3 linked regions of the Drosophila melanogaster genome follow. The protein of the gene in region 3 binds, or shares a complex with, the protein of the main gene of each other region. Each region holds a gene or a part of one and is shown on either strand. Other genes may lie near its edges.

What was found.
Region 1: MED31 (region 3) and MED1 share a complex: the UniProt entries of both Drosophila melanogaster proteins name them as parts of the mediator complex.
Region 2: MED31 (region 3) and MED24 share a complex: the UniProt entries of both Drosophila melanogaster proteins name them as parts of the mediator complex.

Annotation. Positions count from the first base shown.
Region 1 is NT_037436.4:21,628,227-21,636,609, reverse strand, and holds MED1 (mediator complex subunit 1), read left to right. Parts: upstream 1-2,163; 5' UTR 2,164-2,314; coding exon 2,315-2,348; intron 2,349-2,413; coding exon 2,414-3,694; intron 3,695-3,770; coding exon 3,771-5,677; coding exon of another isoform or gene 5,678-5,698; exon of another isoform or gene 5,699-6,489; intron 6,490-6,696; coding exon 6,697-7,902; 3' UTR 7,903-8,285; downstream 8,286-8,383. Other genes in the region: ORMDL (orosomucoid 1-like), read right to left, coding at 488-623, 841-992, 1,049-1,225; Alg11 (ALG11, alpha-1,2-mannosyltransferase), read right to left, coding at 8,336-8,383. UniProt on the Drosophila melanogaster protein: Component of the Mediator complex, a coactivator involved in the regulated transcription of nearly all RNA polymerase II-dependent genes.
Region 2 is NT_037436.4:8,189,548-8,197,827, forward strand, and holds MED24 (mediator complex subunit 24), read left to right. Parts: upstream 1-1,722; 5' UTR 1,723-1,841; coding exon 1,842-1,931; intron 1,932-1,974; exon of another isoform or gene 1,975-2,024; coding exon of another isoform or gene 2,025-2,779; intron 2,780-2,866; coding exon of another isoform or gene 2,867-3,461; exon of another isoform or gene 3,462-3,569; intron 3,570-3,642; coding exon 3,643-3,729; intron 3,730-3,787; coding exon 3,788-3,945; intron 3,946-4,014; coding exon 4,015-4,857; intron 4,858-4,924; coding exon 4,925-5,285; intron 5,286-5,342; coding exon 5,343-6,160; intron 6,161-6,299; exon of another isoform or gene 6,300-6,303; coding exon 6,304-6,928; 3' UTR 6,929-7,026; downstream 7,027-8,280. Other genes in the region: Atg18a (Autophagy-related 18a), read left to right, coding at 295-422, 504-721; CG7387 (uncharacterized protein), read right to left, coding at 2,025-2,779, 2,867-3,461; NEDD8-conjugating enzyme UbcE2M, read right to left, coding at 7,193-7,336, 7,595-7,896, 7,975-8,074. UniProt on the Drosophila melanogaster protein: Component of the Mediator complex, a coactivator involved in the regulated transcription of nearly all RNA polymerase II-dependent genes.
Region 3 is NT_033777.3:4,640,376-4,644,516, forward strand, and holds MED31 (mediator complex subunit 31), read left to right. Parts: upstream 1-1,587; 5' UTR 1,588-1,620; coding exon of another isoform or gene 1,621-1,633; exon of another isoform or gene 1,634-1,908; 5' UTR 1,909-2,025; coding exon 2,026-2,053; intron 2,054-2,193; coding exon 2,194-2,283; intron 2,284-2,375; coding exon 2,376-2,872; 3' UTR 2,873-2,917; downstream 2,918-4,141. Other genes in the region: nuclease slx1, read left to right, coding at 1,621-1,633, 3,169-4,049. UniProt on the Drosophila melanogaster protein: Component of the Mediator complex, a coactivator involved in the regulated transcription of nearly all RNA polymerase II-dependent genes.

The sequences.
Region 1 (8,383 bases), on a different chromosome or scaffold from region 3:
TCGCCACTTAAGTTGATAGCAGTACTTTTGTATGTTGTATGATTATATTTAAGAATATTTAACAGAAAAAATCAGTTAACGGGTTTTTCTTTCATGTTTTCAATCTTTCGGCTTATATATGTACTATACTTACGCACCCCACTCACTGTGCTTTTCGTCACTACGAAGACTTCTGTGTACAGCGATTGATCAAGTTTAATCCTTTGGGCTAAAGAACTACATCATGGTTCTACTTAATCGTCTGACATAATGGGTTATAAAATATCTCATGTGCTGGCCCCCAAATACATCTTTTAGATGATTTGTAGTTTCCATGATCAATAATTATTTATGCAATAAAAATCGAAACGCGATTTTTAGAATTATTTAATTTGATAAATATTTTATTTAGCAATATTTACATTTTTGAGCAAGAGCTGTGCCATCAATATAAGTTTGTATGTACATTTTCATTAAACAAAATAAATGCGGCCCGTTCTCACAGGAGCTAGTACTTGTTAATGTTGAACAGCCGCACGCCGTGGAACTGCGGCAGCTTGGGAAGCGTGACGACCACCAGGGATATAAAGTTTGGGATAAAGTGTTCCGTGTTGTTTCGGGTGTACAGACAGGTAAGTAGGAAACTATAAAAAAATCAATTATTTCATGAGTTTCTATGTTAGGCATTATATGGTAGCAATTACATTACTAGTTCAATTAAACTGCAGTACATAAAAAGTATTTATTGAAATACTTTGATCAACATTAAAACAAGTTTAGAATTTAAGTCTTCATTTAGTTTTAATTTTTTTAAATAAAAACCCACCTATATTGGCCGACTTTCAGTACGTATTCACTTACAGAACAATGGGAACAGCTGTGAGGAACTTGCGCGTTGTGGTCATCTGTACCCCGTCATCGATCTGTTCCCAGTGCGTCCAACGCCGGCTGGGATCGTTCTCCGTGCTCAGCCAGGGAGCGCCCTTGATGACGTGCAGAAAGTACAGGTGGGCCTGGCAAGAGGGATTAGGATAAGGACTGACTCCTCAACGGCGCCATGAGCACTCACTGCATTGTGAAGCAGGTTGGTAGCCGTCCAGGCCCATGGAATGCTAACGAAGGGCACTGATAAGAAGAGCAGGTGCACCGACAGCAGGCCCAGGAGGTATGCTAGCCAAAATCCCCGGGCACTCAGCCAGGAGCTGTTTGGATTCGCCTCGCCGTGGCCTCCCGCAATGGACGTCATGTGGCTGAATTGTTAACCTTTGGTTCCGAAACACTTTAATAACAAATATTTATCATTTACGCTCAATGTGACCGCGCATGCATACAAATATCGCTCTGCACTTTGATGATAATAAATATACCAAAATAATTTAGAGAAAACAGAAATTTGAAATACTTTAAATGTTTAATAAAATTTGAATTTAAGCTTTTGCAATTTTCTATGAAATATAACATCTACCTTTAGTAAAGGTTATGACTACTTTTGATTTGTCGGACCAAACCTATATTCAATATAATCCGTATATCTGTCGTAGTTTAGGTAAGTACGAGGAAGAGAGGAACGCTTAAGACTTATCATGAATTTAGCGAAATAAAATTTGTTTAAGTCGTAAGCTGTATTTGTTTACTTATTTGATTAGTCCTTAAAGTTTTTTTTAGCTGATATTTATTTTTATAGGATTATAGTTTCTTTCAAATCTCAAGAAACTTTAAATAATCATTTTCGGTTTCTTGGAACAGAAACCCCAAATTAAACTTTATGCCAATAAGACATTTAGAAATCATTGGAAATTTTAAATAAATATTAAATCATCGGTATTAAATTATGAGGCCTGTAATTTATTTTTTAACGAAAGAATGTTTGAGCTTTTCTGTTCATTACAATACCCTTGTAGCTTAAGAGAAAATTCGAGTAGGAAATGAGGCACAATTACATCATAAAAAATAGAATGTAAAAGTACCAGAAGGATGTATAGAATATAGATGTTAATTGCTTCATTATATTTACCCCTCATACTAAAAAATATAACATACATAATTGAACAGGCAATTGATACAAGCTTTGAATCAGAATACATCGAATATCAAATGACGCAGTGGAAATATCATAGTTCCGTTTTATATTCCAGTATTTTATTATAGCGTGACCAGCCACTGTGAAGGATCAGCCATTTTGTTGTTTTGGCGTTGAAATTTTTTTGCCATGATGAAGGCATAGAAAAAAGGTTCTGAGCTATTTAGATCGAGAACTTTTTCATTTGCCGCAATTCTTTGTCAAAAATGCCACAGCATCATTAAGTAAATACAGTTTACTTAGGAACGCATAGATATGAGCGGATCCAATGCAAAGTCCTCGGGGACTGGTAAGTACTAATATATACCCCCATAACTAAGATGTCCGGAGCACCACTGACACAAATCTGCACAGGCTTCGGCAGCCACATTCCCAGCATCGAGGAAAAGAACAAGCAGATCCAGCAGGAAACCATGATGGAGAAGCTGCGGGCCAAGTACCGGAACAAGCCAAAGAGCTACGAGGAGATCAAGAAGTCGGTGCGTATGTACTTTATCGAGAAGCACTACCCTCTGGACCCCCTGTGCAAGGCCACGCTGCAGTCGGCGCTGGACAAGTTGCAGCACTACATCAAGGTCACGTCACGCCACGGCCTTGTGGAGCGTTTGGAGAGCCTCTCGCGCCAGTTGGGCCTCAAGTTCATGGAGGACCAGCAGCTTCTCTTCATATCAACGGACATGTTCTACGTAGAGATCCTGCTGGACGCCGCCGGCAGTCTGTCGGACGTCAAGGTGCACCACGAGTGCAAGATCGAGCAACAGTCCAGCGAGCTAGTGGCCTGCCTCAAGTCTGGCGACTTTGCAGACTTTACGGTTCAACTCGAGGGTCTGTCCTCCATTTACCAGCTGAATGCCGAGCCCAAGGTGAAAAAGAAGGCGTTTGTAGCGCTTCAGGCCATGGAGACGGATATCCAGAGCCTATACCAACTGCACCTGCAAGGTCACTCCGGAGACAGCTACTCACTTATGACAAGTTCATCGGTGGGTCTTGTGCTGCCCCGTCGCGGTGGCCATCCTATGAGGCTTACTTATTTCTGCCCGCCGCTCCACCTTCCCGAAGGGGATCCCAAACTGGCCAGCGGCGATTTCACCATCGACCAGGTAATGCGAAGCAGCTACGGACTGAGTGCCACTATCAATCTCGAAGGCTCATCAGCCAACAAACTGCAGACTTTGCCAACGGTGACTTTGGTCCGCGATGCCCAAACGGGGTTGGAGGTTCCCACCTATGCCCAACTTAACCAGAACAACTCGCTGCTGATGCCGGCCACGTTTGTGCTTCGGCTGAACAAACCCATGCCTGTTTGCCTGGAATCACTAAAGGCTCTCGGTCTGCCCGGTCTAGACTCAGTTGCCACTCCTCCTGGTCCGCCCACCACAGTGCTTAATCTCATAGTACAAACTGCATCGAAGCAGGCCATTAAGAACACACAGCGCGGCCTGTATGTGAATTTACCTAAAGAGACGCACTGCTATTTCTTTACCGACAACCGCAAACTGCAGGGAACTCTGGTGTCATCACTGCCCTTCACTGAACCCGCCCAGGTTCCGCGAATCGTGGCGTTCCTCAAGAAACAAGCTCTCTTCTACACCCTGCTCGCAAGCTGTGTTCGTGAGCAGCAGAAGCAGTATAATGGTGAGTTGGGTGCTCCACTTCCCCCCACATTCCTGTTTTATGATAATAATATTTTTTTTATGCTCATTCGTCCCAGATATGGACAGCACTGTGATACTGGAGGTAACCGCCGTTTCATTTAATCAAATCACGGTTGAGCTGCAGCACCCGTACGAAGAGTCGCTGGCCACTGTGGATTTTCTGCTTGAGGATGGTCAGCCCACGTGCAGCGTTTACTGTCTGACCAACGAATACGAGCTGCTGTCCCAGAAGTTAACCCGCACCGCGCGCAAAGTGGTATCCATTCCGATGGTAATCTACAAGTTGCTTAAGTGCTGGGATGAGGAGCACGAATTCAAACTGCATGGCGCGATTGGACCTGGATCTGGTTCTGGAGCAATCGGAGGTGGAGGCATGAGTGGTGGTGGACCTGTCTCAGGAGTAGGCAATAACTTTAGCCAGTTTTCAATGGATACGCCGACGCCTTCCGATGGAAGCCTACCCGGAGGTGGCTTCGCCAACATTAACAACCTTAAAATGGATGCGAAGTCGCGATCTCTAGCGGATGCTTTTGCCGCTTCTACTTCGGCAGCAGCGGCCATAGCGGGTTTGATCAATCTTAAGCGGGAAACCGATCCACAGTCTGGTAGTTCGGCCAGTGGCACCACGGTCAGCGGCAGCTCCAGCTCATCCGGCTCCGCCAAGACGAGTGACCATGACATTGCTGACAAGTACAAAAATATCTGGAAGGACAAGACTCCAAATTTGAAGCATTGCGTCAGCATCACCCCCATCCCAGGAGATGGAAAGTCTGGATCAGCTGGGGGAGTGTCCGGGGTCGAGGTACAGCGAACGGGTGGTATCGAAATTATTCCATTGAATGCCCAGGCGGCTATAGCCGGAGGAGGTGTTACAGCCTCATCCAGTGCCACTCCCACGACTATAACTATTACCCCAATAACTGGCAAGGATCCCAGTAAGGACTCAACCAAAAAAAGTACCGCTGCTTCAGCTGGAGTAGGTGTGGCCGCAAAGCGTCCCCACGAAAGTAGCACAAGTAGTTCGTCTACGTCCGGTTGTAGTGGTTCTGGCAGCTCCATGTCGTCTTCAGCCAGCAGCGGCTCTTCAGATACGCAGAAGGAAAAGAAGCGCAAGAAAAAGCGCGACGATTCGCCCATGGGACCGCCGGAGAAGATCTATTCTAGGCAAAACTCGCCTGCAGGTGGCGCAGATGCTTCCGCAACTGGTGGAGTGGTTCGCAAGTTTTCCTCTCCCTCGTCGTCACCCAAAGCTGGTGGCGGTGGACAGGGTCTAATGGCCGGAGTGCCGACTGCCCGTCCCAGCCCCAAGCACTCTCCCGTGTATAGCAGTCCCAAGCACAACACCGCCTCCAACAGCCCGAAGTCGCCGTTTGGCACACACTCACCCAAACACGGCTCTTCCGGAAAGCCGAGCATGTCAACGCTTAAAAGTGCAGCTACAGCTGCCACCATCTTAAGTCCCAAGGGCGATAAGTCCTCGTCAGCTGTGGGTAACACATCTTCGGGACCATCCGCCTCCTCAGGATCCAGCGGAGCTACTGGCCTGGTGAGGTCATTTGCCAGCGTTGGAGCTCCGCCTCCACCACCTCCAATTCCTCCATTAGCGAGCTCGAGCGGATCTATCAGCAGCAGCCAGAGTTTAAAGAAGGAGAAAACCTCTTCGGCATCCGGTTCCAGTTCCACATCATCCTCGGCAACTGCAGGTGTCGCATCTGGCGGAGGTATTTCACCGGCAAGTGTGGCTGCTGCAGTAGCTGCCCTGAAATCCTCACAACAGCAGATGAAGTCAGTCGCCAGTCTTTCGCATCTGGCGGCGGGCGGGGGACTGGGTAGCTATGCGGCCCCGTCGGGAGCGGGAGCATCTGGTGCAGCCGCAGTGGTGGTGGGAGCAGGAGCTGGCGCTGGAGCGGGGGCCTCCGGACTGGAGCTGAGTGCCCTGCGCAAGGGCATGGCGGGAGGTGCGGTAAGTCCGTTTTCATTATAAGTGCTCCACTCCACACCACACCAACCCACCCCCAGCATCTCCCACTGGAAGCCTAACACGTAGTTGACTCTCTGCCACCTCTCCTAACCAATGCAGAATCAAACTCAGAGCGAACCTATCTTTAAACTAATGCAAATGCTGTATTTACTTTAGCTATAAAACGATTTGTAATTTGCCTACCTCTGCTGTAGTTGAAAATGATTATATTTAGTACTATGATTATTATTTTTGTTAGTGTTTCGTTTTGCCTTTTCTAATTTTTGTAAATACATATGATTCAATTATTTGTCATATATACTGCTGCATCCGTTTTATTTTCGACCAAACCCAAAACTCGTATGGTAATGGGGCTTATCCCCAAAACACCAGCTTAAACCTCTTTTTCTGCATTGAGAACGTATGTTTTTATTATTAGTTAATCTGTTTGATTTGTATAGTTGTTTGGCCAGCATGTGGCATGTAGAAAACCATGGCGTACTGGTTCACCAAGTTTATAGTGTCTACAGTATTGCTGGATTTATAAGAATGTGTATGCATATGACTTTTAAGCTTTGTTAAGAACATCAGTAAATAATGTGTAAATTAGTAGTGCTTGGCATCTTGACTCTACGAGTATTATAATTTGATTGTTTCCCCTTTTCTAGATTTAGTTACAAGAGTTCCTTCTCACTTAAATATTTACTACGTTTAAAATTAGTGTTTAATGTGCTTATGATGTACACTTTGAAAGTAGCTCCACAAGCGTTTGCCTCATACATTTTCTCCTCAAAAATATATTTCGTATCCGACTTAACTATAAAGCTAATTATTAACGGGGTCCATTCTTCTTTCTTCCTGTTTGTATTCCCTTCCTACACTACCAATGGTTGTGAAATCCCACAATTTTTTCTTTTGCTACACGTGATGTTCCCCTTTTTGATTGTTATAATTTCTTTTCTGGTTTATTTTTGGTTTCTTTGGTCCCTAACACACACACAACCACATGCTTACTTTGTCAGGTTAGTTTGATGACGTCGACGGCAGCTTTAGCGCCAACAATTCCGGCACCAACAACAACAGTGGCAGCGGGCTCGGCAGCGTCATTGGTGTCTCCAGTCTCAGCGGTAGTGGGTCAGGGGCAGGAAACAGCGGGAGCAGCGGCAGCAGCAACGCTGGCAACAGCAACAATTCTGCAGCAGCAGCCACAGCCGGGAGCAGCGCCAACTAGTAGCTGCTTAACCACCAGCGGGGGCAGCAGCGACTCCGCCGGGAGCATCAATCCGGCCGGAGCCTCCACGGAATACATGGTGAAGCCCAGCAGCCAAGAGGGCCTCAAGCTGACCATCAACAAGACGGGAAGCAGCAAGAGCTCCGGCACCGGCTCCGGCTCTAGTTCCTCCTCTGGCCTCCAAGCGAAGGCAAAGAGCAGCAGCAGCGGCGCCACGAGCTTCGCTGGGTCCACTGGATCCACGAAGAAGCAGCATACCGGACTCAAGCCGGGCGTTAACAGCGGACCCGCTTCCAAGAAGGCCACCGCAGCGGTCTCGTCCGCCACGGCATCATCCAGCAAGCATTTCTTCCAGAAGGCAAACTCCTCGGGCAATCTCAGCAGCAAGCTCAGTGGGTCGGGATCAGGTGGCGGAATTCCGCTGACTAAGAGCAACAGCACTAACTCCTTCCAAGAGCACAATGCCCCCAGGCGGCGTCCCAGCATGGGAGCCTTGGCTAGCGGCAGCAGTGGAGGAGGCAGCGGGCAGCGAAAGTTAGGCTCCGCTTCGGGAGGAGGCAGCGGATCTTCGGGGTCGGTATCGCCGGCCCTTAGCGGCTCAATGTCGCAGCCACCGCCGCGATTCGATCACCACACGGATATGATGACCATCCTCCAATACGCTTCTCCGACAATGGCCGCAAGCATGGAAGGCTTCATCAAGGGGCTCCACAACAAATTCCAGATCCCAAAGTTATCGCAGAGAGGAAGCGGAGGCAATACAACCAGTGGACGCAGCACGCCAAGTGGCAGTTCAGAACCGGCTTTAGCGGGAACATCATCTTCGATATTAGGACCTATTGCCAGCTCTACTGGACTGACGGAGCCGGAAGCGAAGCCGCCGGTGCCTCCTTCGCAGTCTGGCAATGAAGGACTGCTCAATCTTAGCAGCACGGCGGGTACACCATCGGCGGATGGGATAGATGAGGAGCTTTTGGCTAGCCTGGCTGGCGAATGACAGAAGAAAGACAGCCGTCATGAGATATTCCTGTTGCTCTATGCGATTTTCTCTTAAAGCTAGCATAGTGAGTTAGTTTAAAGCCATTAGTTACACGATTTTGTTTTATGATGCATAGAAACTAAGGATCTTATTAGGCAATTTCTTAACTTTATTGGCAGAAAAATGATTTAAAACTCCAAAGGAAATAAATAAAATTTTACAACACGATGGCGAATTTGGTACAAAATCTCAGAGATTATTCCCGATTCTGTTAAGTCGATCAAACCGAAATCACCTTATGCTTTAAAAATGCATTAGGTAAATCTTAAGGAAAGCGATGCGATATGTACGATAAAATCGCTCTAAATATGTTGTAGAGTATAATAAATGTATTCAGTTGGAGATTTTTGGGCTTTGCATATTTATTTAGGTGCGGGCGTACTATTATTTTTTAATTGTTGGTAAATAGCGTTGAAACAGCTCGAAGAAAGTTTTTTTC
Region 2 (8,280 bases), on a different chromosome or scaffold from region 3:
GAAAACTGCAATTCTATGCGAGCTTAATACCTCAGGTAGGGAATCTGAGTTCTAGATACCAATGCAGTTGTTCCGCGTAAATCATTTACACTACCTACTTTATCTGGCTTCATATGTTTGAATTTCCCTGAACTCTGTTGAAATGTAATTAATATGCTCTTTGCAAAAGTAGCCTAGTACATTTCATAAAGGTTTATAAAACAAAAATTGAATCACGTGCAAATTGAACTACAAACTGATTACCCTGCCTCTATTTCAAGTTCTAAATAACGGTTCATTCTGTTGTATTTGTAGACTTTTGATTGCCTCGCAGGATGGGTACTTGTACGTGTATTCCATTCCCACCGTCGAGGGCGCAGAGTGCCAGCTAATAAAGAGGCACGACCTGCGGCTGGAGGACCACTATGCCATGGATATCAAAGGTGCTTAACTGTTCGCTTCTCGCACACACTTCACACTTACACACATCCCAACCAAACCCACAATCGAAACAAATTCTCTAGTTGATTCACCTCAAACTCTAGGCCTTAACAGTGGCGTGAGCATTGGCGGAGCAGCTGGAGTTCCGCCGAGCAGTGCAAGTGCAGCCGGAGCAGGCACTGGTGGAAGTGGCGGTGATGGCAAGTCGGCTGTTTCTGTTACCGGTGGTGTCGACAAACCAAGTAGCTCCTATGCGTCGGCCGTGAAGGGTGACGATCCCGTGGGACCCTCATCCGCTTAGACAAGGTCAATGATCAAAAATGAGAGATGCAGCGATGGTAAACGAAACTCACTCCTCAAAGTAATAAGGACGATGATGCTAAAGTGATTACAATGATGCTTGGCGACTGGCGGCGGCGATAATGATGATGAATAAACGACGGTGGCTCTGTGGCGTCAAGCGTATTTAAGTAAATAAATAGGTCATAGACTTAATTTAGCTCTTAACGTTGTCAGCGATGATTCTTCCTCGTTTTGTACCAGCCAATATTCCTTTGTACGGCCTCTCCCTACCCAAAACATTTTTTAGTTTTAAGCCTCCGTTCCTGGCGCTGCCATTGGAATGTGAAATGCTTTTGTCATACACTCCTAAGTTAGTTGTTAATTAATAATTTAGACGGATTTACAGATTCGCTTTGATATTTGAGTTGCCAGCTTTTTATACAAAATAAACGGCCTTTGCAAATTAGTTTTTAATTTTTTTATTTTTCCAGTCCTCGCGCATCTTCCCTTGACAATCCACCGAACTCGATTTGTATGTAAAGTTCTCGCCTAGCTATTGTTTAATCATATCGAAATATCTCGGATTAAGCACATACACCACACCTATATATATATATTATATATTCAATTTAAAATTTAACATTCAGCTAGCGACACGATGAGTGAAATGAAATTCAAAAAATCGGAGCGTGCAATGGAGGAACAATTTTCGGCATATATAAATAGAATATATTTTGTACAAAGTCAAATATTTTAGAACATAATGTTTAAAATGAAAACAGTTTACAAATGAAACTCATACGCTACTTTATTGTATTCAATAAATTATTTGAATTAAAATTTGTTTGTGGGTGCCTTTTCGGTGTCTTAAAATATATTTTAATATTATTTCCTTTATTTGGCTAAATTCCTCGTTGCAAAAACAAAATTTTCAAAATATTTAAAATTGGCGACAAATTTTAAGATTGTGTGTTTTTCAACACTGTAGGATGGGAAAATTATGGTACTCTTTTGGTATGATTAATAAAAGATACCTCGGTCACACTGAGCGCTGCTAAAAAATATATTAGGTTTAAATAAAATAAATTGCGTGAAATACGAGAAAAGTAAAAGTTATATTACTTCCACGGACGCGAGAGATGAAGGAGAACAACAAGATCCTCCAACTCATCTATGTGGCGTGGCGCGAGCGCTGGACGGACTCCCAGTGGGGCATCAACATAAAAAAGGCAAGGCAACCCAAGCAAATCAACACACCAAACAATCAATGTTCGTGTTTACCAATATATTGTAAACGCAATGAGGCCGGTACATTGAGAATTTTAGTGACTCAAATTGCCCGCCTCCGTGCTCTTAGTCTTGGGCTCGAAAACCGGATCCTCTGCCTGGGACAGTGCCAAAACCAGTTGGCGTTGCTTTACGGAGAGATTCCGGGGTATACGCACCTTCAGCGTGACGATGTGGTTGCCCACGCCCTCCCTGGAGCGCACCCCCTTGCCATTGAGCACCACCTGGGTGTGGGATTGGGTGCCCGGCTCCACACGCAGCTCCACGCTTTCGTACAGACCCCGTATCTGAAAGGATCCGCCCAGAATGGCCTCCGAGATGTTTAGGTGCTTGTCGGTTAGAATGTCATTGCCAACGCGTCGGAAATAGTCGCTAGACGGCACCGACAAGCGGTAGGTGACCTGCTGCTTCGTTTCCGGATTTATAATGTTCACCACATCACCGTCCCGGGATCCGGAAGGCACCGATACCATCACATCCACATTGGACACCACGAAGCCGCGATTCGAACATGTTTCGCAGTCGTTGCGATTTGTGAATCGCTTGCCCTTGCACTGCGTGCATGTGTTCACCGATGAGAAGGTTGGCGTTTTGGTCATGACCTTTCCAGTTCCATTGCATCGCCGACAGGGTTCCTTGCCCACATCCCGATGCGCCATCAATTGTGACTTGCCCTTGCAGGTCTCGCATTTCCGCAAGTAGCGCAGCTCTATCCGCTTCTTGCATCCCACTGTCGCCTCAAGGAAGTCAAGTGGCAGATCGAACTCGTTGCTCTTCAGTTTGTTGATCTCTAGAAGGCGATTCAAGGATCGTGTTCATATCGTGATATAGTGAAAAGTGAAATGGTGTTTGATGTATCTAAAATCCGTCTGCTTACCATCATTTGTCGTCTTATCCGAATCGAACTTCTTGGCCTCCTCGAGGCCCACATTTAGGGGATTGCCCGCCTGTTCAAGAAAAGCGCGCTCATCCTTAATCCCGCCCAGCTGATCGTACTCCAAGCGCTTCGTCTCGTCGGTTAGGATGTTGTAGGCGTTGGACAGCTCCTGGAAGTGCTTCAGCTTTTGTTCCGAGTGCGTCGAGTCGGGATGATAGCGCTTGGCCAGCGCATAGAAAGCCGATCTGATTTGCTGGATGGTGGCGTGCCTGTTGACGCCTAACACTTTGTAGTAGTAGTCCTTGGGCATGCCTCGGCTTTGCGGGTACTTAACAGCCGGAGATGACACCTGTTGAGGCGTGGCTCCCGCTGACGTTCGCTTCGCCTCCCGCTGGCGATCTGGATAGTAGGCTGGTTTCGTGGTCCTGAACTGATATTGACTGATCATCCGCATACAGATCCAGCAGGCAGCGACAGCGGGAGCGCGATCCAACTCCAAACAATGTGACGTCTTCCTGCAGCAATCCGTTGCAGCTCCGCTAATTAAAGTGCTTAATACGTCTCCAGGACTGCGAAATAATTTTAAACGAAACATTTTTTATCGCGTAACGAAATATGCAACTATGTGTGCTAACTATATAAGTGGAAATCCTAACTAGATTTTTAAGTGGTTCTGTTTCTGTTTATTTTATGGGGTTGTGACCCAGATATTGTGTTAAAGTTTGACAGGAAAAGAAAATGTTTCATTATTGTCTTTCCCTTGATTACTATTTCAGGTGCTGCCGAGAGGAGTCAGTGGAGATGTATACAATCTGGCTGACTGTCTGATGCAGCAGGCACTCATTGGTTCCACGGCTAATCCGGTGAGTAGTTGATCTGAGTATTTAGATTGTTTTCTAAATTGTAATCTATGCTTTTCAGTTGGTTCTTAACTACCTGAAGCATTCACTGTGCGCCCATCTCGTTTCTCACGCTGCTGTTATTCGGTGCATTGCCAAATATGACAAATTAGAGCGCGTTTATTGCATTACAGCGCTCCTTGAATTCCTGGCCAGCATCGTGGATGGCGTTACCTGCCGGTAAGTCCTTTTAGTTTTATAAGTCGTTAAAAAGCAGGAGTAAAAATAATTGTTCATTTCTATTTCCAGAATAAAATCTGAGGAAGCGGTTTTACCGAGTTCCGTCGTCCACTTGGTGTACTGGCTGCTTCAAATCTTCGCCAGAACTGTGCAGCACTATGAACTGTATGGTGAGATTAGTGCTGAGCAATCATACATGCTGGACCAGACCTGCGTGGTGATAGATCGGCTTAGCCAGCAGCAGTTCCTGCTGTCTATGCTGTACGTGGGCTGTCACGAAGAGCTCGAAATATGTGGACGGATTCGGGATAAGTACGCTACCATCAAGGGATCGTTGACGAACTCAAACTTTACGCTAAATGCACCACAAGTGGAGCAGCAATTGCAGCAGTTGGCCTTTATAGAAGCCAAGCATCTTGAAATGCAACCACTTAATCCGCCGTCAACACTCGAGAAGATCTCGTGCTGCGTGCAACCCTTACTGGCGGTGGAAGTGCTTCTCAATCCGTGCAAGGACACCAGCTACTACGTGGCTGAGTTGCAGATGCTGCAACGATTAAAGAAATACTCCAATACACGGCTCTTCTACGAAATCATCCGTGCTGGATTCCTCACGCTGAGCAATGTTGCGGATACAAGTCCTGACACTATGTGGGGTGCCTTTATGTTCTTTAAAATGCCGCACATCATTAAGCAATTGCACGCCCTGCAACGGATTCCCGGGGAGCAACCACCACCGGCCGATTACATACCCGAGTTGGTGGAGGCTTTGGAATTGCTCATCGAGGACAATCTGCTGCTAGACTTCATGGATACTAAGTGCTCATGCAATATGATCGAGTTCCTTTTGAATGACTGGACCAAGCAACAACTAGTCAATGATGTCCACGTAAAGAAGTTCGCCAGTCAAAGGTTAGTCGAGAAATCATGCATTTTGTACACCCATCTTAATTATATAATTTAAAACGAACTCTTTCAGGGAAGCCGCCTCTCAATTACTCAAAAAATGCGACAATGGCCAACAGACACCCTCCAATATAAACTTCATCAAGCGCGCAGAGGTTCCGCTTTCCGGAGTACTAAAAACGCTGTGCACCAACAAGGTCCAGGACATGGTTAATGTCCTTTGCCAAGTGCCGGTGGGCAACAGCTTCGAGTTGATTCTTTCAGTGGCTACCGTCGAGGGACGCCTCAAGACATTCGTATCGCGTCTGATCCAGTGCAATGAGAACTCCAAGCCGGTGCCGGGCGACCTGGGCAAGCTATGCGTCATCCGGTCCACTCTGTTTGATGTTTCCTTCCTAATGTTGACAAGCATTGTGCAGACCTATGGATCCGATGTTCGTAAACCCGCCTGTTATTACGCTGCAATTTTAATGAATTCTATTTTACTTCAGGTGGTCTTATCTGAGCGTGGTGACTCATTTTTTGAAAAATGGGTGCGTGAGTGCATGGTGGAAAGGAATAAGCTTAAGAATCCGCGTCAAATTCTTGCCCTCTGTGATGACAGTATTGTCGACGAGCTTTTGCTTAGCTTCAGTAAACCAGAGGCATCACAACTTAAGCCAAACAACTTAAGTTGGCAGGAGACTTGCCTTAATCTGCCCGGAGTGCTTCATCATGTGCTAATAGCTTGGGAGCAGGAAACGCTATCCTCGGCGGACGTTAAAAGTATTCTGGACAATATTAAGAGAAGACTTTTCAGTTTTTCCGTTTGCGCCACTAGTTTTCTATGCGCCTACATGTATTCGGTGAAGGAAACGGAACTTCTGAAACCACTAAACATGATTCAGCAGTTCCTGGCTCCGTTGACCAGCGAAGAGCTTTCCAGCCAGGAAAATGCCAAGGAGCGACTAGCTCTCTCCTATCAGATTATCAGAAAAATGCAACACGATGTGCATCCTGCCCCAAGTACCAAGTCCCGCCTCATTTCACATTCCCCGCTAGTCGAGCAGTTTCGGGAGGTGTGGCGAACAGTAGTCGATGCTGGTCACCTGCCCGTTCGCGCCGCTCAGTCGTTGGAGTCGCTTCTGCTAGCCGGTGGCGCGGCGTGGCTGTCCACGCAGTTGGTGGAGCAACTGCTGGCCTGCAAGTACACAAGGGATATGTCGCGAACCATGGACGTTGTGTTTGCCGTAATGCATCTCGACATTGAGAAGACCACTGAGGCGTTGCTCCAGTACGTGGTGGCTCCACTGATACTGCGACGACAAGGGTAAATACCAATATTTTCTTCTGTATATTATTTCATTTATTTATTATCTACAAATCGAATCGATTTAGCAAGAAAGGATGTAAAAATTGAAACTGCTATGATAGAACTCGTACTCACAATTTGGCAATCTTTTTTTTTTCTAGTGAGGACATTAATGAGCCCCAATCCCTGGTACTGGCCCGCCTCTGTGTTTACTGTATTATTTCCTGCCTGGAGAGCCGCAAAGGAAATGGCACTTCCGCTTTGACGGCCATGAAGAAGCGATCGAGATCTCACGATGACGAGGAACTGGCGGCCAATGCAGCCAAAGTGCGCAAGGTGATTGGCGATGGCAGCGACAACTCAAGCGACTTTACGGACACTACGACCGGAGCTGGCCTGGCAGCATTATTGGGCTCCACTTCCACATCTGAACTGCGGACTACGCCGCTTACTCTAAGAGAACCACTGCAGACGAGCGTGCAGCACATTTTCGCAGTGTTCCTGCAGTTTGTCAGTGGAGATGAACTGTCGCCCAAGGCCGTTTTTGTTTATCAGTTCATTTCGCTGCTGGTGGAATGCGGTGGTGAGAGGGTCGCTCCCGTCCTGCGCTTGCTGCCCAACGGCCTGGTGCAACAGCTCCTGAAAGTTTTGGTCACCGACGACATAAAAGTGGGTCTCATCAGCAGACTATACGATCTGCGAATCCAGGCAGGAAGACTGTCCGCTGTGTCTGATCTTTGCCTGTGGCGAAATATGCAGATGGCCAGGCACAGCATTCATCTGTGAGGGATTTGGATGATTGCCACATTGGGTATGCCGATTATGATTAAGAGACGGGTGGGCGAAATTGCTAAATGAATTGTATTAAAAACTAGAAATTGGTGACTTGACTCGGCTTCTTCTTTGCACGCAGTGGATTTTGTTTTCGTTTATTACAATAATTTGTTGTCGCCGATGTTCGTCTGTGTTTTGCTTCATCTTCTTCAGTTAGCGGGTGTAGGGGGAGGTGTATGGACAGGCTTAAAGTAAGAGACCTTGCGATTCCCTATATCACTTGAGCAGACAGCACTCGAAGTAGGTCTCGCCCACACAGCCACCACGCATCGCCTTCTTTACATTGTTCTCGAACTGACGGCGGTTGGTCTGCAGGACGTCGGCCGCCTCCTTGTTGAGCGGATCCTCGGGATTGGGTTCCTGGAAGCAGTTAATTTGGATTAGTAATACTGTTGGCTTGGGTAATAACAAAAATAGAAATAATGATCGTTAAGTGGTATAAACAAACATTTATATTGAATTGTTTCAGTGGGCGTTCAATTAAGCACACTTAGAAATCAATTGTTCACAAAACAAGACATAAAAAATCAATTGTAACTTGAAAACTGTGGCTGTTGATCAAGACTTATGGAACAAAGCGTATAGCCTCTAAAATAACACAAATCACGAAATACAAACCAAGAATAGAAACTGCAAGCCATAGACGATGGAGTTGATGTTCAGCACTGGATTCCAGTCCTCGCGCAGAATGTTGAGGCAGACGTTGCCATCCAGGTCAATATTGGGATGGTACACCTGGGTGGCGCACTTCACCTTGGGCGGCTCGTGCGGATAGTTGGATCCGACGCGGAAATTGAACACGAAGCGCCCGTCTCTGTAGAAGCCCTCGTCGGGCGAGATGATAAGCTTGAAGTTGAGCAAGTCATTGGGATCGGGAAAGTCTGTGGCGCAAGTGTTTGGCAGGTTCAGTTCGTTAATATCTGGGGGGAGGAAAACAGCCCAAGATGGATAAGTAATAAGCGAGAGTTGATCATACCAGGTGCTGGATTGGAGACTACCTTTCTGTATGCGCAGCTGGGCGGCGGACGCTTTCTTCTGCTGACTGCCCTTTTGCTCGCCGTCTTTCTTCTGCTGCTTAAGCGTGAATAGTTTAATCATCTTGGCGTCCTCGTCTCGCTGGCGTTTCGTCTTCCGCGTTTGGCTGTGCTCGAAAGTTTCTGGCTCTCTGGGGGGCTTTTGCTGCTTGAGGGACAGGTTGCATTGTTTGAAATGTCAGTGGTTTAAGGGCAATTGTTTCACTGAATCTTTGGCCTACCGTTAACAATAGAACTGATGTAAAAAATCACTTCGAGTGCTTTCTATCC
Region 3 (4,141 bases):
GTCAGGTACGCCAGGACGACCCCCGGACAGGTAGTGCCAGCTGACACCCATAAACGCTAAGCTCAGACAGTTCTTTAAAATATACCAATAAATCTGCAGCTGTTCCTATGTGGAAAAGCCAACCGTTGGCTTTACCCCTTATGCACCCCCGTAAATAAAGCCGTGGTCATAGTTACAACACTAAACATTTTAATATTACCTATGAATTTTCCCACTTAAGAACATTGATTCATTTCACATGTATATAGGAAGATGTTTAGGAGTAAAGATCACTTTAGTCAAGAGTCGCGACTATGAGATACCCAGCACTCAGCGAAGACATTTATTTGATACGTTTCTAATAATCCTATTTTAACTATTATGACAATTGTATGGAACTACAGTGTTATATGCCAATTTGGGCGTTGTAGATCGTGGTCAGATCGACCAGGCCATTGGTCCGGATCGAAGAAACATTTACATTATAGGGTCGGAATCACTTTTTATACCAGTTACACACTGTACACTTTTCACTCTATAATACTGTTTTAGGTAATGGTCTATTTATCTCGAATTTAGATGTACGAATTAGTGTGGCAAACCAATCGATCAATTAAAATTGCGACTGTGGCTTGCCTAAGCGGACACAAAAGAGACTTACATTCGTAATTACATTGAAATGATTCAGAAGCCTATCAAGAAACAATCTTTGGTTCTATTTGGACGGCAGCTGTGCTGTGCTGTATAGATACATATGCACATATGTACATATGTGTACATCTGTATGCATCTGTATATGTATATACATTTCGGAGTTGTATTCAAGCAGAGCACACTGTAATCTAATAATAGATTCTTCGCCAACATGAATTTTTTGTGGATGATGATTAACCCGTCGAAATCGGGGAAATAGTTGGATATACATATATAATGTTTCATATGCACTTAAATTACATAATTTTGTTAATACTTACATTTCTGAATTGTGCGTCGCTGCTTCGCTTGTTCCTCAGCACAAAAATAGGTGCGGGGGCGTTCTGTCCACAGATAGAAATTAGTTTCACTCGTTGATTTCTCGTTTATTTAGCCTAAACTACGACTTTTTCAGTGGCTTGGTTCCGATTAGATATGTTTTACAGACGAAATTCAAGTTTTTCCTCGCTGCTTTTCAGGCTGACAAAAAAATCAGGCATTGTTCTCCACAGCGTTCGTCGTAGGCTTGTGAAAATACCGAATTAAATGCGCATCACATTAGGGGTAGTGAAATAAATACTGAAGGCTACACACAATTGTTAATTACATATTATAATTAAAAATTGTCAATGTTCTGGTCGGAATTTTATATTTTAATATAAATTTTAATTGTTTTATTATGATTATTTGTAGATACCATTGATCGCTGTACTTCTTGATACATACGCTCAGATTTGTTTAAACTTACTCTGGTATTAAAGATTTTTGTTGGTTAAAACAACCCTAATTCTAATTTTTAACACAGAAACATTTTCAAGAATACCGTTAGCACACACCAAGTAAAATATACGGAAAAGCAGTATTTTACGAAAAAAAAATCGTATTCGGATGAGCTTGCAGCCCTGGCGGGGACAGAAGTAGGGTTGTCGCCGGCCATCAACAATCCAAATGAACTCCTACGGTTTGTAGACAATATTAAAAACTGAATTTAACTGCCTTCCCACAAGAAATCACCAACACAAAGGGAGCGACAACCCACCGCCTGCGCCCAGAAACCTGGTCGACTGTTTTCCCGAGTTTTCTTTTGGCCCACAACCTGCGTTTGCTCTGTGCAGTCACTGCCGCGCCATACATTTTATTTCATTAGCGAAGCCCATATATATTTATAATTTTACTTGTGTGTTTTGTTTGCCGCGACGTTTCGTTTTCAATTCGATGGTGCACCAAAACACACAGCTCAGAACATCCACATAGCACACTGAAAGAAACCAAGAACCCAACCCGACACCGAAACTGAATAGACGCAAGTACCGACCCAACGAGACCCTTTCCAAAGCCAAAGACCAGTCCAAAATGGCCAAAATGTACGGAAAGGGTAAGAGTAAGTACACGCCAATCCACACCCATTTTCGCATTGTAATCTAACACCTACTGACACCGCTTGGCATGCCGAATCCTCAGAGATCTACCAAAAGTGGTGCTAATTTCTCAGGGACTAATGCTCTCCAATTTCTTCCGTAGCTGCTATCGAGTCGGAGGAGCTGCAGAAGCGACGCTGGCAGATCGAGCTGGAGTTCGTGCAGTGCCTGTCGAACCCCAACTATCTAAACTGTAAGAATAATATTACCTCGACCTACCTAATATTCACTTATTCACCATCTTGCGCGTATATCTAAATAAACAATTACAACGCCTTGTGCCAGTCCTTGCACAGCGTGGATTTTTCAAGGACCAGTCGTTCATCAACTACCTGAAGTATCTGCAGTACTGGAAGGAGCCGGACTATGCGAAATACCTCATGTACCCAATGTGCCTCTACTTCCTCGATCTGCTGCAGTACGAACACTTCCGCCGGGAGATCGTCAACTCGCAGTGCTGCAAGTTCATAGACGACCAGGCCATTCTGCAGTGGCAGCACTACACTCGCAAGCGCATCAAACTGATCGAAAACGTTACGGCCGCCCAGCAGCAACAACAGCAGCTTCAGCAGCAACAACAGCAGGCGAACGGCATGGAGGCAGCAACGGGAGGCGAATCAGCAGCACCTACCCCCAACGTGAACGGGTCAGCTTCCACGGCGGATAGTCAACAGACGTCTTCTGCCCTACAGCCTGTCCAAGCACAGCCTGGAAATCCCCAGCAGCAGCAGCAAATCAATGGCGTGGCATCGGGGGCCAACATAAAACTAGAGTTAAACTAGCGCTGGCAACTAAAAGTTTACCAATAAAATAGTATAAGAACCTGGAACAAGTTATTTTGCATTCCATTTATTATCTTCCTTTTTGGCTGAGAAACAGCTACCACTTAACACACCTTATTTTCTTAGCTATTTTAGCCAAACTAAAATTCTAAAATAATTTTATTTCTTTTTTTATTTTAGAAAATCTTGAAAACCTCATCTCATTGCTTTAGTTAGGGTGTCGCCTCCTTTGTCGTTGGTTTTTGGTTGCAGACACAAAGCAAGTTTCATTAATCTATCTGTTGGTGAATTCACAGACCCACAGGACACAGCTTCTCAACAGGAGGAATCCGTCGCGCTGAAGGGCCACTTCTACGGCGTCTATTTGCTATGCAGTCAGAGCTTGGATCCTCGCTACCGGGGAAAATGCTACGTGGGCTTCACCGTGAACCCCAAACGGCGGATACGCCAACACAATCTTGGTTGTGATTTCGGTGGCGCGAGGAAAACCAGTCGCAAAGGGCCGTGGCTGATGGTAATGATCGTGCACGGATTCCCGAATAATACAGTGGCACTCCAGTTTGAATGGGCTTGGCAACAGCCGTCGCTTTCAACTAGGCTTAAAATGTACCCTGAATTAAAACGAAAACTGCCCAGGGAGACGTTCTTTGACTACAACTTTAGGATCCTTAGTAATATGCTGGGGGTTGGCCCTTGGAATAGATTACCGCTCACCGTTCGCTGGCTAGAAACGGATTACGAGAGGCCATTCAGCAAGGCACTGCCTAAACACATGGAAATTGTGAGTGGCAAGGTTTCCATTAGTGCCTCACAACGTAGGAGACCTGATGATGCAGTACCTCCTCCACCTGTGGCGTGGGCTTCCGAGTGCCACCTTTGTATGCAGGAAATGGAGCAACCGGAGAAATCCCGCCTGGGATGCACAAATCAAATGTGTCGGCTGACATGCCATATGGTGTGCCTGGCCAATTACCTTCTGGGCGACGAGCCAGGTCATTACATCCCAGTTGGAGGAGAGTGTCCGCTTTGTGAGACTCGTCTCAGCTGGGCAGCACTGCTGCAGCGCAAACGTCTTCTTTTGGGCGTGCCTGAAGAACTGCAGGATCATGACGAGGATCTGAGCGACGACATTGATGTAGACAGCGATATTGAAGATACCCCGGAGCTCAGCGATTAGTTGAGGACCCATTTCATTTTATTTACAAATGCTAAGGTATCGCATAAGCTAAAAGTATCTAGGCAAACACCATCTTAATGCGCTTGTAAAAG